3 linked regions of the Macaca mulatta genome follow. The protein of the gene in region 2 binds, or shares a complex with, the protein of the main gene of each other region. Links are inferred from orthologs where the notes say so. Each region holds a gene or a part of one and is shown on either strand. Other genes may lie near its edges.

Region 1 (7,644 bases), on a different chromosome or scaffold from region 2:
CCACTTTCTTCTTGAAAATCACCCCTAAACAATTTGAAACAGAATATGACCTCCAGCTTTAATGACTAAGAGGCATATATGAACCAATTACATAAAAATTAAGAGCAGATAGAAGAATGATTGATGACTTAGCCGAGCAAAAGAAGGTCAAGTCCATGTGCCTGACGAAGGAGATGCCAGGAAGATGCAGCACTTCCAGAATGCTGAAAATGCTTAGGAAATAGATAAACCCCCACCAAAGGCAGAAAGGAGACAAAGGGCTAAAAACAGAAAAATTTGTCTTAAATCAGAAACAGTCTGAGGCAGAAGAAATTGAACCTCTAATCATACTCAGTGACATCAAGCAAAAAGGATAGGCTGGAGTTAAGTGCCAAGTACTGCTAGAAAGTTTAGGCTTTTAAAAAATAAAACAATTATTTATTTTCTTAAATGCTTTTTAAGTTTAAAAAATGTAAACGATATTAAGACATAGTTTAAAATGTTTTTAAGCAATTCTTAATCAGGGTTTTTTTCCCCAAAATACATACGCTCTATGTATCAAGTACCAACTTTGGAGATTCTAATTTTGTAGGGTAGGGCCCAGGAACTTATATTTTGGAAGTTTATCAAACTACTGAGCTAGTGTGAAAAAGGAATCTATCACCTAAATCTATCAAAAGGTGAAATGGTATAGACAAATTATAAGCATTTTCATTCACAGGACTATGTACAAGGTATTGTTGCAGGAATGAGGAATAGTGTAGTACACAAAAAAATTCCCTGTCCTTTTGGAGTTTATAATTTTGTAGGGAAGAGAGAGAGTAAATATATAAAATATGTAGAATGCTGGAAGTTGATAAGAAGAAAAATACAGCAGAGAAGGGGTAAAGGGAATTGGGTAAGAGGACACTGCAATTTAAAACAGGGTGGCCAAGGAAGGCTGTACTTAGAAGGTAATATTTTTGAATATAGATTTGAAGGAGGTGAGGGAGCAAACCATGAAGGTATCTGAGGAAAAGTGTTTCAGGCCAAGAGAACAGCTGAAGCAAAGGCCCCAAGACAGGGGCTGCCAATGTATTTTTATTCAAGGGACAAAAAGGAGGCCAGTAGAGCTAGAGAAGAGTGAGCGAGGATATGAGATCATAGGGGTAACAGAGGAGCTAAACTGTATAGGATTTCATGGGCCTGTGGAGGATCTTGGCTCTTATTCCTATGAGGTGATAAGACATATGATTAAAAAAGTAAATAATTAAAGGGTCATCTATTTGTTTTTTTTTTTTTAAGACAGAGTTTTACTCTTGTTGCCCAGGCTGGAGTACAATGGCATGATCTCGGCTCATCGCAACCTTCGCCTCCTGGGTTCAAGCTATTCTCCTGCCTCAGCCTCCCGAGTAGCTGGGATTACAGGCATGTGCCACCATGCCCAGCTAATTTTGTATTTTTAGTAGAGACAAGGTTTCTCCATGTTGGTCAGGTTGGTCTCAAACTCCCGACCTCAGGTGATCCGCCTGCCTTGGCCTCCCAAAGTGCTGGAATTACAGGAGTGAGCCACCGTGCCCAGCCCGGGTCATTTATTTTATATGTATATTTATGACTGAAAAGCAATCAAACTTGTTCATGTAATTAATAACAAAAATAAAAATTGCAAGTGGTATCTGGAAACCTTAGCTGGCTAAATAAATCTAGACAGTACCTAATACAGTAGCTTAGCTTAAATTAAGTATTTGATAAATATTTGTGAAATGAACAGATGGTGGATTTATAATGAAAAAGAAAAAGAGTTTTTGAAGTTCTTGTAAAATTGAAGGCAATATATCAAGAATTTAACAATTATCCTAAGATGCAGCCTTCATAAAATATTTCAGAGCATTTTTACGGAGTATCATCTAATAGATTTTCCTATTTCTTATTTTATATAGATTTGGCAAGAAGGGGCTAATATAAAAAATCTTTCAGTCATTCTGAAGCATCTCCCTTTTGTTTAGAAGAGTGAAACACAGTTTTTTTTTTTTTTTTTTTTTTTTTTTTTTAAACAAGTCTATCTTTTAAGCTTAGGCTTTCCTGGGTTCTAGTTTTAAAAATGTGTTCATCATGATTCATGCTTAAACTGGCTGTGTTTTATTCTTCTTAATTAAAAAACTTCATCTATTTTCACCCCGAAGTTTGGTTTATTTTTTTCTAAATTGACCGCCAATATCCTGAGCTCTAGGCGTCAGAAAAAAGGAACTGTGGAAGTGAAAAATCCACTTCTGATAGCTAGGAAAAGTGCAGCTTCCAAATGAGCCAATCTACTCTTTCTGGTTGTCAGAATTTGCTTTTAAATTACTAGGTGATAAACTATCCCATGGACAGCAAAACAAAACTGTCCTTTAGTATTAGTATTCTGCTTCTTTTGCTTGATAATAGAATTTTACAAAAGCATTATTATTATTATTATTTTTGAGACAGGGTCTCTCTCTGTCACCTACACTGAAGTACAGTGGCACAATCAGTCAGGTGAGCCAGTGCACCCTTGAACTCCTGGGCTCAAGCAATCCTCCCACCTCAGCCTCTTGAGTAGCTGGGACTACCAGGTGCATGCCATCATATGGAGTTTTTTTTTTTTAAATGTAGAGGTAGGGGGTCTTGCTTTGCTGCCCAGGCTGGTCTCAAACTCCTGTCTTCAAGTCATCCTCCCACCTCAGCCTCCCAAAGTGCTAGGATTACAGGTGTGTGTCACTGTGCCAGGCTTTAACTGTTTGATTAACAGAAAAATGATGGACAACTAACTCCTTCAACTATTGAAATAGTTTCTAAAGGAATAAAAAAATGTTAACTTCTGCTATTATAGACGACTGCAGATATTTTTGGTACCATACCATGTTATGATTTCTCAGGAAAAATATGAATTCTGAAGTCATATAATATCAAAAGCATTACCTTACATGGCCAAGAGATCATTGATAGATGAACATAAAAATTTTTAAAAATATTATTTGTGCTAATATATGGGAATTAAGCTAGAATCAACTGATTTACCAAATGAATAGTCTACTTTCATTACTTTTTGTATCTAAGATTTGCCTTGATAACTTTGTGTAATGCAAACAAATTTATATAAATCTATATTAAACTATGTTAATTTAAAGGGTGGGATCGATTCTAATTACAAAGATTTGACTTTTTTTTTTTTTTTTTTTTAAATCAGAGAGTTAAAATAGAAAGGAAGAGAATAGAAAACTTGGTTACTTGGTTTAGCAGTTTTCTCAAATTGAAAAAAATAACAGCAAAACCTCCAGGGTTAAGAATTTCAAATGAGGCTGCTACACAAAGAAGACAGACCAAATTAGCTTACCACTTGAACCATTTTGAGATATCTGGCATATCTTGGATCCTTGGCTACAGTTAAGATATTTTCTGCTGATACTTCACTTTCCTGTAGTCCAGAGTCTTGTGTACTGCTCTGCTGTAGAGAGTATTTTGTGTAAATCTTTAGACAATTTACAAAAGGGGTCCATCATGTTACTTAAAAGGAATGCTTCTTTCCATAATTCTAAGGCAATAAATTGCAGAAAAAAAAGCATCTCCCCCAATTTAAATACCAATAATTTAATGATGAGATATGTTTGCAAATATCTACAAATATTTAAATATCACTTCAGAGGAGGTTACACTTCAACACTATATTGGTTCCTTAAAACACAAGTATATTCATGCATTAAAATAAAAATTCTGTTTTACTTGTCCTCAGAGTGCTGATACAAAGCATGAATTATATATAGGTGGTTATACTATTTTAACAAAACTTTTAAGAAACCTAATAAAACTATCAACTGTTTATAAATTAATAATAAATTAACTGAGATAATGATGAATTGATTTCCTAGATATCTATAATCTACCTAATTGAGCCCTTTATTTAGTAAATCATTTTATTCTAAGTGGACATGGCTCTTCTAACTTTTTAGAAAGCAATTTTTGGAGAAGTTGTAGAAGAGAAGCCAGTTTGTCAGACAAAATTATCTGGTTTTATATATTTCAGCTACTGATGGAACTATTAATGGTAACATTGTCTACGGAGTGGTTAAAAGTCATAGTAAATACGACTTGTAATAAAGAATCTTGGGGAATGGTCTTTTTAGATAAAAATGCCATTGTTATACAGGCAGTCTTCACTTTGCATGGTACCATGTTACTGAAACTTGTGCATATCAGAACCATATCCTTGCTTAAATGCAAAACTAGAACTGCCTGTATACAGTACTTGATTTTTCTATCAAACCAAACATTTAGAAAAAGCTTACTTTTGTGAATCTCTCTCATTATCTGTATATAAGCATTAAGAAGAATTTCCTTAGAAGAAATCAATTTTATGTCTATTGTTCATGCTGAAATGTAGATAAATCCATATCTTTATATCTTCACAGTCTTTAGACTATGAATGTGAATTACATATTGAAGTTTTTCCTCAGATAATTCAAATATAAATTAAATCTGAAAATTCCAAAGCAAATAAAAACATCCAAAAGTCCTTTAGGTTTCTTCTGTTACATGATATTGCTAAGTTTTACAAAAGTCACTGTGTGTGTGTGTGTGTATATATATATGTGTGTGTGTGTATATATATTCATCTATAATATACATAAATACAAAAATTCCAAAACAGTTAATTAAATAAAAAATTAAAACAATAACCAAATATGTTTTTTAACAATTTATGGAAATTAAACTCATATATATAATAGCAAAATGGTGCAAATGAGAACTATATCCTGGCCAGATATCAACTCTCAGTCGTTAACGTTTGCGTAATAACCAAGACCTCAACAAGGTTTAATTATGAAACACCTTTGCTATCTGAATGATCCATTAAATCCTCTATCATATCTCTCAACTGTCCTTCATATATTCTCAAATCAAACTCACTCTGCACAATTGGATATTCTATTGTGAATAATGATGAAATCTGAACCATGAAATTAAAGTTGCAGAAAAATCAGTACACAAACTTTGGGTCTTTGACTCATGTATAGATTAGAGAGAGTGATAAATAGATGATTTTTTTAAAAAGTGCACTATTCCCCTTTATCTGTTAATTGAGTGAACTATAATGTCAATGAAAACTCTGGATTAAGCAATACTTAAGCCCACTTCAAAATATTTTGTATAAAATATACCAGTTGATAACAACGAAGAAATGAGAAGTTGATGTGAATATTAAGAACATGCTGAGCAGTTATTTTATTAAGCTAATCAACACACAACTTTATCACAGTATTTCAAACTTTGGAAGCCAAAAGAACTTCATAAACCCTCTAAATAAATACATAAACATTTTTAAATAAAATTGCCAGAGATATACCAGGTTATTCTGAATTTGCAAAGCAAATTAAGAAATTCAGCTGTGATTACTGGTAATCAATTTTTTGGGACATTAAATATGTGAGGACCAACACAACTGCATAAAAATTTTAAAGGGCATACTATAGATGGCATTCATAATAGCACCTGGAAAAATTAATAAAGTTAGACAGGTATACTTAAAAATATTATAGAAATATATGACTGCTCTATCCACCACATAATAACTACTAGATAGAGTGGAAATATTTTCTTGGTATGCTTTGTTTTAGAAAGAGGATAGTCATATTTAATTGAGAGAATATAAAGTTAAACTCCTCTATAACATCTGGATATCCTCTTGCATTTTATATATTTGAGTGGCCAGGATAATGAAATTTGCTATATTAAATAAATGGATGTTAAATTTTATAATATCTAATTAAGTAAATGATCATCTAATTTATTACCCAAATATATACTATATTCTAAATATATGGCTTTTCCTACAGGGCCTCATACCACATATCCTCAATATGTTTAATAAATTGAACACAGGTACTGAAAACAGAGTAGTGTAGTGTAGTATAGTGTAGTGTAGTGTAGCAGGTAAGTGCTAGGGCTCTTGGCACCAGACTGTCTGGGTTAAAATTCTAATTCTTACATTACTTTTCGACCTTCAGCAAGTTACTTAACCTCTATATACCTCATTTGACCCATCTATAAAGTAAGATTGATAATATGGTGCTTATATTATAGGGCTGTTGTAAAGATTAAATTCGTTTATGAAAGGCACTTAGAAACGTGCATGCCTTGGTACACAGAAAGCACTCTTGAAGTGTTAGCTGTTATCATCATTGTCAACATCATCGTGATCTAAAAAATATCCTGTGAAAAGTGCCTCCAGGTACAAAGGCAGAATTCCATTATAAGTCTATTTGTTTAATTTGTTTATTATTACTTTGGTAGGCCACCACTTTGATAATTATTTTGTTTTAGATTTTAATACCTCGCTGAGATACACTAGAGATTGTTCTCAAAAAACAAATAATTTTTATTTTTTGAAATAAAAAGTAATAGAAAATTGAAATTCATACAGAAGCATAAGTAAATGTTAAGATCTAAGAGCCAAATGTAAAGTATAGCTTTTATTAGGATGCTGATTCAAAGGAATCAACTTCAGAAACACAGTTTTTAGACAACTGGTATTTCTAAGATCAGTAGCTCTCAAATTTTAAGTGCCTACAGATCACCTAGGGGTCTTGTTAAAATGTAGATTCTCAGCAGTTTTGGGGTGGAGCCTGAGATGCTTCATTCTAACAAGCCGCCAGGTGATGCCCATGTGGGTTGGTCCATGGGGTGTACTTGAGTAACAAGGGGTTAGACAATACCAGCGAATGTTCATTTATTTTTATTTTTTTAATTTTTGAGGCAGGGTCTTGCGCTGTCACCTAGGCTGGAGTGCAGTAGTGCAATCTCAGTTCACCACAACCTCTGCCTCGTGAGCTCAAGTGATCCCCTCACCTCAGCCTCCTGAGTAGTTGAGACCACAGGTGCGTGCCACCACACCTGGCTAATTTTTGTATTTTTAGTGGAGACAGTTTTACCATGTTGCCCAGGCTAATCTCAAACTCCTGAGCTCAAGCAATCCACTTGCCTCAGCCTCCCAAAGTGCTGGGATTACAGGCATGAAAGACTGCACCTGGCCAATTATTGTTAATTACATTGTATATGATAAAGGCATTTATATAAGAAAAATGTTACAAAAGAACATGTCAAAACTTTTCAGAGATGCTCAAAAATTTATGCAGGGGTGAGATGATAAACTGTCTGGGATTAATTTCAGCAAGTGACCAAGAAAATAGATAAAGCAATTGTGACAAATCATAACTGGTGAATTCAGGTCTGTTTTTGTGTATATTTAAAAATTTTACAATAAAACATTTTAAAAGTACATTTCTTATAAGAACTTAGAAAAATTTCTAATTATGTTGAAGAAAATAATTATTTGAAGATTTTTCCTAGTCCTATATAGACTGATTTTCTTTTTTATAGGCAAAGAAAGTATTAACTTAAGGAAGCCCTTCAAAATAACACAGCTAATTTGTTTTTCCCAAACTTCATTTTCTATGTTAAGGTTTTAAAATTTTACTATTAGAAGTTTTACATTTTTATTTTTCTTCCTTCCAACCTGCTGCTTAAGACTATCAGTTTCAACCAAAAACATCTGCTCATTTCTTAGAACTCACCTGTGGTTGCTCTGAAGTGGCTTCAGGATGTGCTCCATTTGTGACACTGGTGACATTTAAAGGAGATACTTCAACTGTGACATCATCTAGGCCTGGG
Region 2 (7,644 bases):
CTATCACAGCTCACTGCAGCCTCAACCTCCAGGGCTCAAACAATCCTCCCATCTCAGCCTCCCTTGTCACTGGGACTACAGGCACACACCACCATACCTGACTAATATTCTTTTGATTTTTAGTAGAGACAAGGTCTCGCTATTATTGCCCAGACTGGTCTTGAACTCTTGAGTTCAAGCATTCCTCCTACCTTGGCCTTCCAAAGTGCTAGGATCAAAGGTGTGAGCCACTGTTGCCAGGCCTAAAAACATTTCTAAAGATTGTTCCCTCACCTACTTCTTGTTCCCTCACCGACTTCTAGTGGTTTTTAGGACATAGCTCTCTTTTTCCAAAGATAAGATGAATGGCACAATTCCTATAAGGAAAGTGTAATAATCAGTGGAAGCAGAGAGCTGAAAAGATGGGGATTGGAGGAAAACGCAGTAGTACAATACAGAAATAGCTACATGGACATTATTATACAAAAGCAATGACTATATTGCACAGCATTATAGAAAATGAAATATCACAGTAACAACATCAGCATGCTGTTTAAATTGACAACTCGTACTGTTAGTCCTCAAAACTGAATGTCAGCACTATGGCAAATTACCCCAAGGCTTATTTGCCCAAAATAATACCATATTTTAAAAATTTATCATGATCCTGTGGGTTAGGAATTGGGAAAAGGCACAGAGGGCTTGGCTGGCTGCAGAAGCCGAATAGCCTCTTCCCTTCTATGTCTAGCACTTCAACTAGGAAGATTTCAAGAGCTGGGGGGCTGAGGAGACCAGGTCAACCCAAGTCACACGTCGGCGCTTCGGTTTCTGCTGTCTGCTGGCTTTCTTCATTCTCTTCTGTGTCAGGACTCTTCCCTCTCAGCATGGTCTTTCCTCTTTGTAACTCCTGTGATCTCTCTAGCAAGATACCCAGACATCTGACATGGCAGCTTTGGACACCTGAAGAGAGCAAAAGGAGATACTGCCAGGCCTTCTCAAGGTTTAGGCCTAGAATTGGTAGAGAGTTACTTCTACAGTATTCTTTGGGTTGAAGGAAGGAAGACATAAACTGTTATGAGCTGAGTTGAGTCCCTCCAAAATTTCTATGTTGAATTCCTAACACTCAGTACCTCAGAATGTGACTGTATTTGGAGACAGGATTTTTAAGGAGGTGATTAAGTTAGAATGAAGCCACTAGGATGGGCTCCAATCCAATATGACTAGTGTCTTTCTAAGAAGAGGAACTTTGGATGCATACATTTTAAGAAGAGGAACTTTGGACACAGAAATTTACAAAGGAGGGCCAGGCTTGGTAGCTCATGCCTGTAATCCCAGCACTTTGGGAGGCTGAGATGGGAGGATCGCTTGAGCCCAGGAATTTGAGACTCCCCTGGGCAACATAGTGAGACCCCCATCTCTATAAAAAGAAATGAACAATGGGGAGGCCATGTGACGATACAGGAAGAAAATAGCCTACTACAAGCCAATGAGAAAAGCCTGAGAAGAAAACAGTCCTACCATCACTTTGATCTTGAATTTCTTGCCTCCAGAATTGTGACAAAATAAATTTGGTTAAGTCACCCTGTCTGTGGTGCTTTGTTATGGCAGCCCAGCAAACTAATAAACAAACGCAATCCAGACTCATTGAGAGGGAAAATAAGGTTCAGCCCTTCACTTAAGGTATGTATGTGCTGACTTAATGGCAAGGAATTGTTGGGAGCCATCTTTGGAAACCAGTTACCGCATTATTATAATCAAATTGCTTTCCTAGCCCCTAGAACTAAGAAAAATGATTGTTGCAGGGTAAGGCACACAGACCTGAACAAGAAGGGTACTCAAGTCTGTGGGCAGAGGGGGAATGTAAGAAGTAGTAGCCTAATAAGACAAATTACCTACTTCAAGAACTTTCTGAAACCTCATCAAGTCCGAGGAGTTATTTCATTTGTGTAAGTCTTGCTTCCTTCTCCAGTCGCCCTTCGCCTTCCACCATCTGCTCACCCCTGCTCTCTGCACTGGCTGTAGGAGGAAGCTAGTGGGAAGGAAAGGGACGGGTCAGGAAGCAGTTTTATCAAGAGTCTGTGTGTTAAAGAAGATGCTTAGAAGGCACAGCCTGGGTAGTGACATGCTCAAAGACTTTTATGTGTACAGGAAAACGTCACATGTATGTTTTGTTGATTGGTTGGTTTTCATTCCTGGTGACATCTTTTTTTCCATTTTCCTTTTTACTTGGCTCCCGCCTCCCCTTCTCTCCCTGTTCTCTCTTTGACAGCTTGTGAGATCCCTTTGCATGTTTTAGAAATCAACCCTGTGTCTGCCGTTTGGATTTCAAATCCATCTTCTAAGTCATTTACCATAGAAAAGTTTTTAAGTGTTACATACTAAAATAGGTCATTCCTTTTAGATGCTAGGTTTCTTTCTCTAGCCCTGAATTCCTAGATGTCACTTTACTAAAGATCACCCACTATAAGAATACCTGTCCCAACAGAACACCTAGTAAATGCTCCATACTGACAATTAAATGTATGTTACACTTCTTATTTCTTTATTGTAATGACACACTCAAGCCCTTCATCTCTCTGATATTTTTTTTCTTCAGGGCTTCTCTCTCCAACAGTATAGCAGGCAGCTAGAGAGGACAGACATCACTCCTCTTGCAATCCTAGTATTTTTTTTTTTTTTTTTTTGAGACGGAGTCTCGCTCTGTCGCCCAGGCTGAGTGCAGTGGCCAGATCTCGGCTCACTGCAAGCTCTGCCTCCCGGGTTTATGCCATTCTCCTGCCTCAGCCTCCTGAGTAGCTGGGACTATAGGCGCCCACCACCTCGCCTGGCTAGTTTTTTGTATTTTTTAGTAGAGACGGGGTTTCACCCGGTTAGCCAGGATGGTCTCGATCTCCTGACCTCGTGATCCACCCGTCTCGGCCTCCCAAAGTGCTGGAATTACAGGCTTGAGCCACCGCGCCCGGCCCCTAGTATTGTTATTCAGGCACTCCTTTTACTTGTCAATGCCAAGGAATGAGTTCAGCACAAAGGGCACAAAGATAGATATTGTTAATTTCCTGTTTACTTGCTGCAGTTTTCCACAAGACCAGTCATTCTCTACTATTTTAATGATCCTGGCTTCACATCAGAATCATCTGGGGAGATTCTTAAAAACAGAGATACTTAGGACTACCTCTAACCTACTTACCAGACTCTTAAAATGCTAGGTGATTCCCTTATGCAGCCAGGCTTGAGAACCACTGGACTAGAAGGTGAGTGGTCTAAACGTCTTCATATCCAGCCTGGCAAAGAGATATTCAGCAAGGAGTGGTTGGGTAAAGATCAATCCTTGCCTTCAAGAACTTTCAGAATGAGCTGTAAGCAACAATAATATTCAGTATGCTAAGTGATCTAACCATGCTCAGAGAGTACATTGGAATACAAGAGAAACAAGTAATGGATTCTGCTAACAGTACTAGACACCTAAGTACTGAATTTTGTGAGACTTTTGGACCAGTTTGATTTAGTATTTATAAATTATCTTCACAGAATTTTGTAGAACTTAGCATCTGTAATTTTAAAAGGAATCTTGGACATGTTCATAGCTTAAGCTTGCAGTTCCATTTCTGGGAAATAATTGGACAAATGCCTCAAAATGATGTACAGGGATTTGTCTCTGAGCTCTCTTTATAGTATTTGAAATTATTTGCTAATATATTGAGTAGTAGAAGATAGCTTGTATAATTAGGGTACATTGGAACCACACATGCCCAGTGGTTCCTTCTCCCTAGCTCAGAGATGAGCTGTATCATATCTTTTTCCCAAGAGAAGTGACTAACATGTTGAAGAAGAGGCGAAGAGTGTTAATCTACCAAAGCCCCTCCACATGGAAAATATGGAGAGTGGCAGATAAATACCCTTTCCCCTATAAAGGAACTCATTATTTCTTACAATTTTTTTAGTGAGTTTGGGAGAAAAATGTGTTTCTTATGTGTACACATGTGCTTCCTTAAACAAACTGAGATTTTCACACTTTTTTGGGGGATACAGGTTCTTTATGGAGCAGCCAATCTCTCTGCACACCTGGTTTCATCTAATAATCTACAGACACCAGCTCTAAGGCCGGTTAATCATCCCCAGTGTCCACGCACAGAATAGTCGGTCCTCCTCACAATGTTGGACTTTCTAGCCGAGAACAACCTCTGTGGCCAAGCAATCCTAAGGATTGTTTCCTGTGGTAATGCCATCATTGCTGAACTTTTGAGGCTCTCTGAGTTTATTCCTGCTGTGTTCAGGTTAAAAGACAGAGCTGATCAACAGAAATATGGAGATATCATATTTGATTTCAGCTATTTTAAGGTAATCTTCCTCAATGCTTTTTTATTTGTTGTCTTTTCTACAAAAACGTGTTTTCTCTGGGAACCGTGAAACTCTGTAAGGTTAAGTAGTTATGGAAAAAGCTAAAGAGAAAAGCTTCTGGACTAAACGTAATGTTAGCTACTAACTTGAAAATAAGTTGAAGGTATTATGTGAGAGCCCTAACACAATATAATTGTATTTTTAAAACGTAACTTTGACATTTCACATTGAAGGGCCCCATACTTAAAAGCATGCTAATCTTGGGTCCAATTCAAATTCATTTATCTCAAAGGGATTTTACATCTAGGCTTCTATTATCTTCATTACTTTCTGTTGCTCCGCTTTAAGTTTAGGATGTTTAAGAACATAAGAACAAGTTTTTAAAAGACTATTTGGAAATTGTCACCAACAAGTATGCTTTTATTGACATTTCATGTGTGTTTTTTTTTCTTAGGGTCCGGAATTATGGGAAAGCAAACTGGACTGTAAGCCAGAGCTACAGGATTTAGATGAAGAATTTCGTGAAAACAACATAGAAATTGTGACCAGATTTTATTTAGCATTTCAAAGTGTGCATAAATATATTGTAGACTTAAACAGGTATTGATCAATTTAGTAACAGCTTATTCTGGTGGTAAATAGTGGAGAGGGAAAAGGACACACAACAACGTGTAAATCTCTCTGAGTTACTATAAAATTTCCTAATTTAGTGTATGCCGTATAAAGTTGTCTCTTCCTTCCTGTGGCACTGGTCATCTTAAGAATTTTAAAGTTTTACTATAATGTCCTGCTTTTGTGAGGTGTCATAATAAACTTAGTTTATACTAAGTCATATAGTTTCCAATCCTGTTATTTATTATCATATTCTAGTGTATTATATGTGAAAAGTGGGAAAAAGAACTTATTTTTATCATTAACTTTCTGTCTCTTATACAGTTCTTAAGAATTCATTACTCATTAACTTTTAAACTAGATATTCCATGTTCTTCTGCCTTTACTCCTAGATACTTGTAATTCACAAATCAGGACTAGGGAATATTTCTTTTACTTGGAACAGCCATAAATATCAAACTGTGGCCTTAAATCAGTTTATAAGACTGTATTCTTAAGAGCGTGAAGGACCATGAACTAGTGGAAGGCCAGAATGCCTGGCATCTTGCCTTATCTTTTAAAAATCTTTCCTCCTTTAAAGATGTTAAAGTTTCTATTATAAATTAATAACTCGCTCTGGGATTTTATTTCTAGATATTTAGATGATCTCAATGAAGGGGTTTATATTCAGCAAACCTTAGAAACTGTGCTTCTCAACGAAGATGGAAAACAACTTCTGGTAAGTAATAGTGATTATTTAAAATGAAATTCAAGAATTTCAAACATAGTATCCCTTTTTTTTCTTCTAAGTCATAAATATAAATGAAATACCATTCTTTAAAGAGAAGCAAAATGAGCTTTTAATTATCTTCTAACTGGCAGGTCCATATCTGAGTTTAGAACGTAGACTTTGAACAGAATTTAAAACAATGAAAAGTTATGTGGAAGTTATGAGCCTCCTCGGTGTAAGAATTCTGTCTTCTTTACTTTTTGCATCCCAGCCATCTGTCCTGGTACCTAGTACATACTGACCATTTAAGAAATGCTTATTGAATAAGTGAATGACTTTATGGTGAAGTGAATGACTTTATGATGAGTAGGTTGCTATTTTGGTGTCCCAAGCAAAATAGCCAAAATAGGTCAACTGAAAGATTATCACTATGAATTAATATCTATTTCACATAAACTTTTCAAGTCCCATTCTGCAAGAAGGTAAGAGCTCTTTGGAGGAGACCTACGTTTTCCTTGAAATCTAAAACTTTTTGGAGAAGTGTGAGCAAAGCGATATTTTTCATGATTACCGACTTTATTCCCTAAGAATGTATAATCTAGTGATTTTGGCTTTTGTCCTCTTCTCTTCTTAGTGTGAAGCACTGTACTTATATGGAGTTATGCTACTGGTCATTGACCAAAAGATTGAAGGAGAAGTCAGAGAGAGGATGCTGGTTTCTTACTACCGATACAGGTATTCCTGGGCTAGGACTCCACTTCCAAAACACTGCTGTTAGTAAAATGCGGTGTATGTCCCCATATTTCTTCTACTGTAAACAGCAGTAATCCAAGAATACATAAGAAAGTATACGATTCATCCAGGCACGGTGGCTCACGCCTGTAATCTCAACACTTTTGGGAGGCCAGGGCCAGTAGATCATCTGAGGTCAGGAGTTCAAGACCAGTCTGGCCAACATGGTGAAACCGTGTCTCTACTAAAACTACAAAAATTAGCCAGTCGTGATGGTGGGCACCTGTAATCCCAGGTACTCAGGAGGCTGAGGCAGGAGAATCGCCTGAACCCGGGAGGTGGAGGTTGCAGTGAGCCAGGATCACGCTACTGTACTCCATCCTAGGTGACAGAGCGAGACTATGTCTCAAAAAAAAAAATATATAAGATTCTTATCTCTTGTGAGCATGTTGTAGGACTATAACAATTACGCCATAGTATATTTCATAATAGATTATAGATTATATAATCTATATATTACATATAAAATATTCTATGTATTATAGATTATTAGAGGTATGGATTATGCTGTCCGTAATGATAACTCCAATTTTAAAAAGGAGTCTGAATTGTGAACTTTCTTTACCTTGAGGCTAAATTTCAAAGAATATTAGAAATCTAATGAAGGTTGTTTTTGCTTTTGTTGTTTACATTTTCAAATATTACTCCTTGGCAGATATAAAGAAAGGAGTGTGCTTTCTGTTGTCATTTGCAGTTTGATGACTTAGAAAAGTTGTCATTCAGAGTCAGGTTGAAAGTGAATTCTTTCCCATATTTACATAGAAACAAAAACAAATCAAGCAATAGCACATATCCACAAATCATTTGTCGTGTATCTCTATACGGAACTGTGATTCTTCGGAAAGTAAGGTCTTGAAAACAGGAGCCATCTTAACCAACTTTTTAATTTTAGTGTCTAACACACAGGTTTTCAATTTGTTGAATGAGCTAAAAATGGAATACCAGGTCAATGTTGGAAATAGTCAAGATGCAGAGAAGAAAGTGTCAATAAGGAGGAGTCAGTTAGGAGCTTGAGCTAAAGATGTAAGGAGTAGAATTAACATTTTCAAACTTAAAAATTAGGACAAAATAGACAAGGAGAAGGGGGTTCTTTGGGGACATTATATTTTCGGCAATACCAGGTACCACTGTGTCCTCAGCAGGAAATTAATCTTAGGCTTCTCAACTAGCCTTTTCCTTTCAGCTGCATCAGAGTGCGAAGGGAGCGTTCTAGC
Region 3 (7,644 bases), on a different chromosome or scaffold from region 2:
TGCCTTTTCTAAGTGCTTACAGATTCTCTGTTTAATAATCCATTGCAGAAATTTTTTCAGGGCTCATTGTTGGGCTTGGTGTTTGCACCTTTGAGTGATCAGCCCTTCTCTCCTCTGTGGGAGCACCAGGACAGAGCAGCCTTTGTCCCTCCCCAGTCTCAGTTCCCTCCCACTGCCCCTGTGGATCTCGAGTGCAGAGCTTATGCAACTTCTGAAGGTCGTGTCAACACCCGGGGCAGAACGAGGCTGCCTTGGGAACTAGGGTAAATTAAAACAGCTTGTGCTGGAGGACCCTTAACAGCAGATGAAGGCCTCTCCCCAGCCAGAAAAGATGGAGCACACGCTGGGTGGGGCCCCACTTTCTCACTGGAAGGAGATGGTGCTCTTGTTTTTTCTTTCTGAGTTGTGGCCGCCTTCATACCAGTCTGTCATGGAACACTTAAGTTGCTCGGGTGCTTGCTGGTATTCCCAGCCCTGCCATGCCTCAGCGCCCTGCACACGAGGAGCCAGGAGTAATCAGGGCAGACTCATTAGGGTACGGGGACTCCTGGATTGTGAAATTGGCTCTCTGGGGGCCAAGGCCTTCTAAAGTTGGTGGAGGTGGCTTTGGCTTTTAGGGTCTAATTCTAGGCCATTCATTCCAACCTTTAGAGAAATCCCAGCATTCCCTAGCCCAGAGTCTGCAACCCCTCTACCACCCCACATCCTCCTCCTACCTTTCCTCATGAACCCCAGTTGCGCCTCTGCCTTCTCATTCCTGTGCATCACACAGGCTCGTGCGTGCCAGGTGGATGCTGAGGCTGCTCTGAATGTGGAGTGTGGCCCTTGTGGGCAAGGGCTGGGTTTTTGGAGGTAGCGGAGCTACAGGGGCAACTGGGAGGAGGATGTTGTGTTACATACACATCAGAGTTAACTTTGCAGTGAGAGCGGCCTTGCTGTGGCCAAAGAACATGGAAAAGCATGAGTGGGGTTGTGTGCCTCAAAGCATCAGGCATCCGGGCCTCGGGCACCGGGAGCCAGCCACAGGGATGTCTGGGGAAATGGCGCTCCATGAGATGCAAGCGCACAGGAATGCACTTGGTACATCTGGGGGACAGCAGGGCAGCTGGTATCACTGGCCCACCCGCACCAGGGAGGATGGGAGCGGGTGAGGAGCTACACCACACAGAGCCCGTGGGCCGTGGTCGGGACTCAGGGTTTGCTCAGTGAGCCATTCACTGTGCAGGGGCAGTTCCCTGTCTGAATTTAGGTCCAGCCTTGCCAGTCCAGCCTCCGGTCTCGATTCCCCCTCTGCAGAGGCCACTTTGTCTGCTTCACGTGATCATGAGGGGTTGTGAAATGCTTGCCCCATCAGTAGCCATGTGTGCATGTGTAAATACCATCCTCTGTGTGCCCTGGAGGCTGTCCTTCAGATAGCATGTACAGGTGCCAGCATAGGGTCTGTCCCTGCTGAGAGTGCGGGGAACTCAGTACCGTCAGCTCCTCGACCCTGCAGGTCAGATTATCCTTGTAGAGGCCACATGGATGGTACCAAGATGGGCCCTGGCAAGCAGGTGACCGTGACTTAGGAGCCCTTGCCTGAAGGCCTGGCCTGGCAGGCCTGCTGTTAGGAGCAGGAGGTGTGCAGGGGGTGGGGAGCAGCCCCAGCCTCTGTGATCTTCTCCGTGGCAGGATCTCCCAGCGGGTAGAGCAGAGCCGGAGCCAGGTGCAGGCCATTGGAGAGAAGGTCTCCTTGGCCCAGGCCAAGATTGAGAAGATCAAGGGCAGCAAGAAGGCCATCAAGGTAGCCCCCATGCCCCTGTGTCCTAAGGCTACTGGGCAGTCCCTCCATTTCCCCGTACCTCTGAGGCTGCCCAGTCTCTGCCTCGCTGTCCACCTGTACCTTGGACTTTCCTCCTGCCCAGGCCCCCAACCCCACCCTCTCCTGCCAGGCAATCCTAGCCCCCAACCCCACCCTCTCCTGCCAGGCAATCCTAGCCCCCAACCCCACCCTCTCCTGCCAGGCAATCCTAGCCCCCAACCCCATCCTCTCCTGCCAGGCAATCCTAGCCCCCAACCCCACCCTCTCCTGCCAGGCAATCCTAGCCCCCTGAGCCTCTTGGGGCCCCTGACTTGTCCCTGTGTCCACAGGTGTTCTCCAGTGCCAAGTACCCTGCTCCAGAGCGCCTGCAGGAATATGGCTCCATCTTCACAGGCGCCCAGGACCCTGGCCCGCAGAGACGCCCCCGCCACAGGATCCAGAGCAAGCACCGCCCCCTGGATGAGCGAGCCCTGCAGGTCTGCTGGCCACACACATAACATAGCCCGGGTCACACCAGGAGGACTGGATACTGGGGAGGAGCCGGGGCCACTGTAGGGTTCTGTCCCCCGGAGGAGGCTGACTGGGATGGGGTGGCAGCTGATTAGGCCCAGCAGTAAATATTCACCATCCCTTGGCCATCCTGGCCCTCCCAGGAGAAGCTGAAGTACTTTCCTGTGTGTGTGAGCGCCAAGCTGGAGCCTGAGGACGACGCCGAAGAGGGACTTGGGGGTCTTCCCAGCAACATCAGCTCTGTCAGCTCCTTGCTGCTCTTCAACACCACCGAGAACCTGTATGGCCAGAAGGCAGGGCCGAGGGGTGTGGGCGGGAGGCCCAGCCTGGCTTAGTGGGGACCCAGGGCATCAGACACAGGTACAGCACATAGGCCAGGAGCCAGGGGTGACTGGGGTGGCTTGGCTTGGGAGGCCTGGGACCCCACAGTGCACACTGTGCCCCTGATGATGTGGAGAGGTAGGTCAGGAACATGGGCTCAGGACAGCAGGTGTCAGCTTGCCTGACCCCCATGTCACCCCTGTAGGTACAAGAAGTATGTCTTCCTGGACCCCCTGGCTGGTGCTGTAACAAAGACCCATGTGATGCTGGGGGCGGAGACAGAGGAGAAGCTGTTTGATGCCCCCTTGTCCATCAGCAAGAGAGAGCAGCTGGAACAGCAGGTGGGAGGGGCGGGGCAGGGGTGGGGACAGGTGCAGTGGCCAGGGGCCCTGCCAGGGCTCCTCTCCAGGCAAGGCTGTTGAGCCCCTTATTCCACCCATGGGGGGTGCACACAAGGTCTTGTTGGCTGCCCCTGCAGGTCCCTGTCACCACTCACATGTCCCTACCTAATCTTGCAGGTCCCAGAGAACTACTTCTATGTGCCAGACCTGGGCCAGGTGCCTGAGATTGATGTGCCATCCTACCTGCCTGACCTGCCCGGCATTGCCAACGACCTCATGTACAGTGCCGACCTGGGCCCCGGCATTGCCCCCTCTGCCCCTGGCACCATTCCAGAACTGCCCACCTTCCACACTGAGGTAGCTGAGCCTCTCAAGACAGGTGAGCTGGGCTCTGGGATGAGGGCTGGGCTAGGGACCTCCCTGCTCACATACCTTCTTCCCTAGACACCCCACACTTTGTGTTTCAGACCTACAAGATGGGGTACTAACAGCACCCCCACCACCTCCACCGCCCCCACCACCTCCCCCAGCTCCTGAGGTGCTGGCCAGTGCACCCCCACTCCCACCCTCAACCGCGGCCCCTGTAGGCCAAGGCGCCAGGCAGGACAACAGCAGCAGCGCGTCTCCTTCAGGTGGGAGCAGCTCTTTGAGGGCACCTCATTTCTGGTGTGCTCTGTGCACTCAGGTGGATTTTCTGCAGGTTTGTTCAGTGGTCAGAAATCCTCGATTTTTTGAATAGTTCCCATTTCAAATATCTTGTTCTACTTGGTCCATAAAATAGTAGTTTTCAAGCTGTAGAGCTCTGGAATTCTCACCTCTAGTGCGCAGGGAGCCTGAACAAGTGAGGCTCTGGGTTCCCCATTCCTAATTAAACCAATGGAAAGAAGGGGTCTAATAACAAACTACAGCAACACATTTTTCAGTGTCACTGAAATTACAACATTTCAGCTTTACTGTTCTATCTCCCAGTCTATCCCTAGCATCCAGAAGTGGCACAAAGCCCCTCTGCTGGCTCATGTGTGCCGCTGAGACTGTCCAGCTCTGCAGGGTGGGGGCTGGGGAGGGAGCAGGGAGTGTCTCACACAGGATGCCTGTGCTCAGGCCCTACACAGTCTCCAAAGGTCCAGCCTCCCCAACACGGGGCTACACAGTCTCCAAAGGTCCAGCCTCCCCAACACGGGGCTACACAGTCTCCAAAGGTCCAGCCTCCCCAACACGGGGCTACACAGTCTCCAAAGGTCCAGCCTCCCCAACACGGGGCTACACAGTCTCCAAAGGTCCAGCCTCCCCAACACGGGCTCCTCGTTTGAGGGGAGGTGCCTTCCTCCCAGCAGGCTCTTGGCACAATAAGCTTCCCCAGGCCTGCCTGAGCAGCCTTTTCTCCTTGCCCCGTTCCCCACCTCCCAGCTCCAGTCCAGGGAGCTCCCAAGGAAGTGGTCGACCCCTCTGGTGGCCGGGCCACTCTGCTGGAGTCCATCCGCCAAGCCGGGGGCATCGGCAAGGCCAAACTGCGCAGCGTGAAGGAGCGAAAGCTGGAGAAGAAGAAGCAGAAGGAGCAGGAGCAAGGTGAGCGGGCCCTGGAGCCTGTGGTCGGAGGGCCTTGGGCAAGATGGCCTCCTCTCCTCCAGCCTTGAGTCCACTGGCTGTTTCCTGCCCACCCCCTGCCAGCCCCAGCCCCTGCTTCCCCTAGGGCACAGGCTGGAAGCCCTGGCCCGCCAACAGAGGTCCTCAGCCCTCCTGCCGGGGCCATGGCTCCTTCCTGGTTTGGGAGCCATAGTGGAGCTCTCCTCTGTAAGCGCACCCAGCTCAAACTGTGACAAGGAGAATCTTCTTCGACTGCTGAGTGGTCCGAGGCAATGGTCAGCCCCTGCAGCCTCCTGAGATATTTTTAGAGACTGGACCTGAGGCCTCTTGAGGCTACTGATGATGCCTGCTGCGAACCCAGACACTGGTGTGATGCGATGCCTGTGTGTACGGCAGCAGCGCCCTGGGCACTGTGGTTTTGAGCTTGTACCCAGCGCTGCTTTTGCCTTGCTCTGTGACCCCAGGCAAGCTGCCTCACCTATCTGGGCCAGTTTCCCCATCCGTCAGTGCTGCACACCCTGGTCCTGTCCCTGAGGTGGCTGGGAGAGTGCTTCTCAGACATAAGCACTCTCTCATCAGTGCCTGGTGCTGGGTCAGGGATAGACTGAGGCTCCAAGCTAACTGGGAAGCACGGTGGCCTTGGAGGGCTGGGGAGTGTCACGGGTGGGGACAGGGAGCCACGGGTCGCCTGTGACTGAACTCTTCACCCTGGCTTTCCCGTTGCAGTGAGAGCCACGAGCCAAGGTGGGGACCTGATGTCGGATCTCTTCAACAAGCTGGTCATGAGGCGCAAGGGTAGGAGGCAGGGCCGCTGCCCACCCTGGGCCGGCCCATTGTAATTCTCTCCTGCCTTTTTCTTCCTGTATTTAAGTCTCCGGGGGATGGGGGAACCAGGGTTTCCCACCAACCACCCTCACTCAGCCTTTTCCCTCCAGGCATCTCTGGGAAAGGACCCGGGGCTGGTGAGGGGCCCGGAGGAGCCTTTGCCCGCGTGTCAGACTCCATCCCTCCTCTGCCACCACCGCAGCAGCCACAGGCAGAGGAGGACGAGGATGACTGGGAATCCTAGGGGGCTCCATGACACCTTCCTCCCCCAGACCTAGACTTGGGCTGTTGCTCTGACATGGATACAGCCAGGACAACCCGCTGAGACCTGCTTCCCTGGGAGCGGGTGGTGATGGAACCAGCACTGTGCGGAGACCACCTGCAAGGAGCGGAAGGCTGGCCTGAGGCCACACGGCTGGGGCGGGGGCTTCTGTCCTCCTGTGCTCCACGGGGGGCGGCTCCACCCAGCCTGCACCATTGTGTTCTTCTCTTCTCTAAGGAGGCTTCCAGAGAAAGCAGCACACAAATCAATAAGGAACTGAGCAGAAACCAACAGCGTGCTTTTAATAAAGGACCTCTAGCTGTGCAGGATGCAAACGTCTGGGGGTCAGTGACTTTCCTCCTGCCCCTGTTGGTCCCTAGGCAATGGGGGCAGAAGATCCCAGCTGACCCATTTCTCTGGGGTCAGAGGGAGGAGAGAGGTGCAGTCAGCAGGGGCAGCTGTTGCAGGTGGGAGGAATAGTCTCCCACAGAAAAAAGCTTTCAGTGACAGACACGGGGTCTCTAAAAATAGTCATGCTGAGAGCCTAATGGCCCTTGGCACCATTGCTGGTGTTGGAGTAGAAGGTGTCTTGGAGTTGGCTCAAGTAGTTGAGAGGGAGGGAGGTGCCATCGACTTGGAGGAACTGGCACCAAGCCAGGGAGATACAAATCCAGGCAGGGCTGTGGGGCAGGTTAGGGAGCAGGGCTGCAGGAGTGACTCAGGAAGAAGGTGGGGAAAGTGACAAGCACCCCGGGCGGGAGCCCTGTGGCCATGCGGATCTTTCTAAGTTGAGACTGGAGGGTGAATAGTCCAGGGCAGCTGACTGTAGTTATCATAGAAATGGCAGAAGCAGATGCGTCTGCTCCATCTCGCCTCTAAGAAGGTTAAGAAGGTGGGCAGGACAGAAAAGGCAGCCTCCTGCAGAGGCCAGTGAGAAGCCTGGCCCTCAGCCATGTGGGATGGAAGATAGATTCGATTCCACAGAGGGGAGCTGCCCTGGGAAGACCTCAAGGATGGCCCAGACCTACCATTTCTTCGGGGTCCACTTGCTTTCTCCAGTGGGCACTAATGCTGTGTCTGGGTCCTGGCAGCACTCTGGACTCCACACACTCCTGGGTTTCACCTTTGTAGCACGATCCCTGCAGACCAGGCCCATGACAGACACTGTCTCCAGTGGGCAGAGCGAAGGCGGCGCAGCACCAGGCAGTGGTGCAGTTGCCTGTCAGGAAGAGGCCGACTTCTCCTGGTGAAACTGGGCAGACAGAAGGCAGTGAGAAATGCCATCTCGGGGTGGTGGAGGCTCTCGGGAAAGGAAAAGGCAGGACTGAACTTCCACACAGCAGCAATGGCCGAACCAAAGGTGGCATTGACCTGCACGAGGGCTCAGATCCAGGCTGGCAGCTTGGCCAGGACGGGGCCGGGTGTGTCACTGGTCCAGGAACACTATGCTGGCAGAATCCCTTCGGTGCCTGATGGTCCTGCCTTTGTGGGAACGGAGGCTCAGGCTTTGAGTCACAGCTGCCTCCCCAACAGCACATTTCCATGTCATCTTCCTCCCCTTCCTCAGCCTCAGGTGGGAGACAGGGCAGGCAGCCCCCCTTTCCTCTTCTCCCCTTCTCCAACCCCCGTCTGTCCACCCAGCCGGAGGCAGCCAGGCCTGCTTATGGACCGGTTGGCAGCCTTCATGCGCAGGTTCTCCACCAGCGCCTTTCTTGGGGGCCCCGGGCTGGGGCTCTGAGCTGGGGAGTGCAGGGGATGACGTGCAGGAGGAGAGTGGCACTGAGGCACCTCACTGAGAGTTTGATACCACAGAAAGCTTTCTCTGGGAGAAGTGCAATCCCGTGCCTCAAAGGCACAGCAGTGAGACAGGACAGCAGTACCACCTAGTGGACACCAATGGGCCCACCTGAGCTGACCCTTTCTGACTTGGGGCCCCAGGAGACAACAGGACTGATGGTGCATCTCTCCCCAGGCCCTGTCTCATCCCAACACCTAGGGCA

The links.
Region 1: WASHC5 (region 2) and WASHC3 share a complex: the UniProt entries of both Homo sapiens proteins name them as parts of the WASH core complex. The link is inferred for Macaca mulatta from reciprocal best matches to the Homo sapiens genes WASHC5 and WASHC3.
Region 3: WASHC5 (region 2) and WASHC1 share a complex: the UniProt entries of both Homo sapiens proteins name them as parts of the WASH core complex. The link is inferred for Macaca mulatta from reciprocal best matches to the Homo sapiens genes WASHC5 and WASHC1.

Annotation. Positions count from the first base shown.
Region 1 is NC_133416.1:109,346,054-109,353,697, forward strand, and holds part of WASHC3 (WASH complex subunit 3), read right to left. Parts: coding exon 7,548-7,644; intron 3,425-7,547; coding exon 3,314-3,424; intron 1-3,313. UniProt on the Homo sapiens protein: Acts as a component of the WASH core complex that functions as a nucleation-promoting factor (NPF) at the surface of endosomes, where it recruits and activates the Arp2/3 complex to induce actin polymerization, playing a key role in the fission of tubules that serve as transport intermediates during endosome sorting.
Region 2 is NC_133413.1:135,515,115-135,522,758, reverse strand, and holds part of WASHC5 (WASH complex subunit 5), read left to right. Parts: intron 1-4,008; 5' UTR 4,009-4,131; coding exon 4,132-4,317; intron 4,318-4,771; coding exon 4,772-4,917; intron 4,918-5,562; coding exon 5,563-5,647; intron 5,648-6,272; coding exon 6,273-6,373; intron 6,374-7,644. UniProt on the Homo sapiens protein: Acts as a component of the WASH core complex that functions as a nucleation-promoting factor (NPF) at the surface of endosomes, where it recruits and activates the Arp2/3 complex to induce actin polymerization, playing a key role in the fission of tubules that serve as transport intermediates during endosome sorting.
Region 3 is NC_133416.1:784,392-792,035, reverse strand, and holds the end of WASHC1 (WASH complex subunit 1), read left to right. Parts: intron 1-1,671; coding exon 1,672-1,783; intron 1,784-2,130; coding exon 2,131-2,277; intron 2,278-2,454; coding exon 2,455-2,591; intron 2,592-2,837; coding exon 2,838-2,973; intron 2,974-3,150; coding exon 3,151-3,352; intron 3,353-3,440; coding exon 3,441-3,605; intron 3,606-4,380; coding exon 4,381-4,539; intron 4,540-5,283; coding exon 5,284-5,352; intron 5,353-5,492; coding exon 5,493-5,626; 3' UTR 5,627-5,973; downstream 5,974-7,644. UniProt on the Homo sapiens protein: Acts as a component of the WASH core complex that functions as a nucleation-promoting factor (NPF) at the surface of endosomes, where it recruits and activates the Arp2/3 complex to induce actin polymerization, playing a key role in the fission of tubules that serve as transport intermediates during endosome sorting.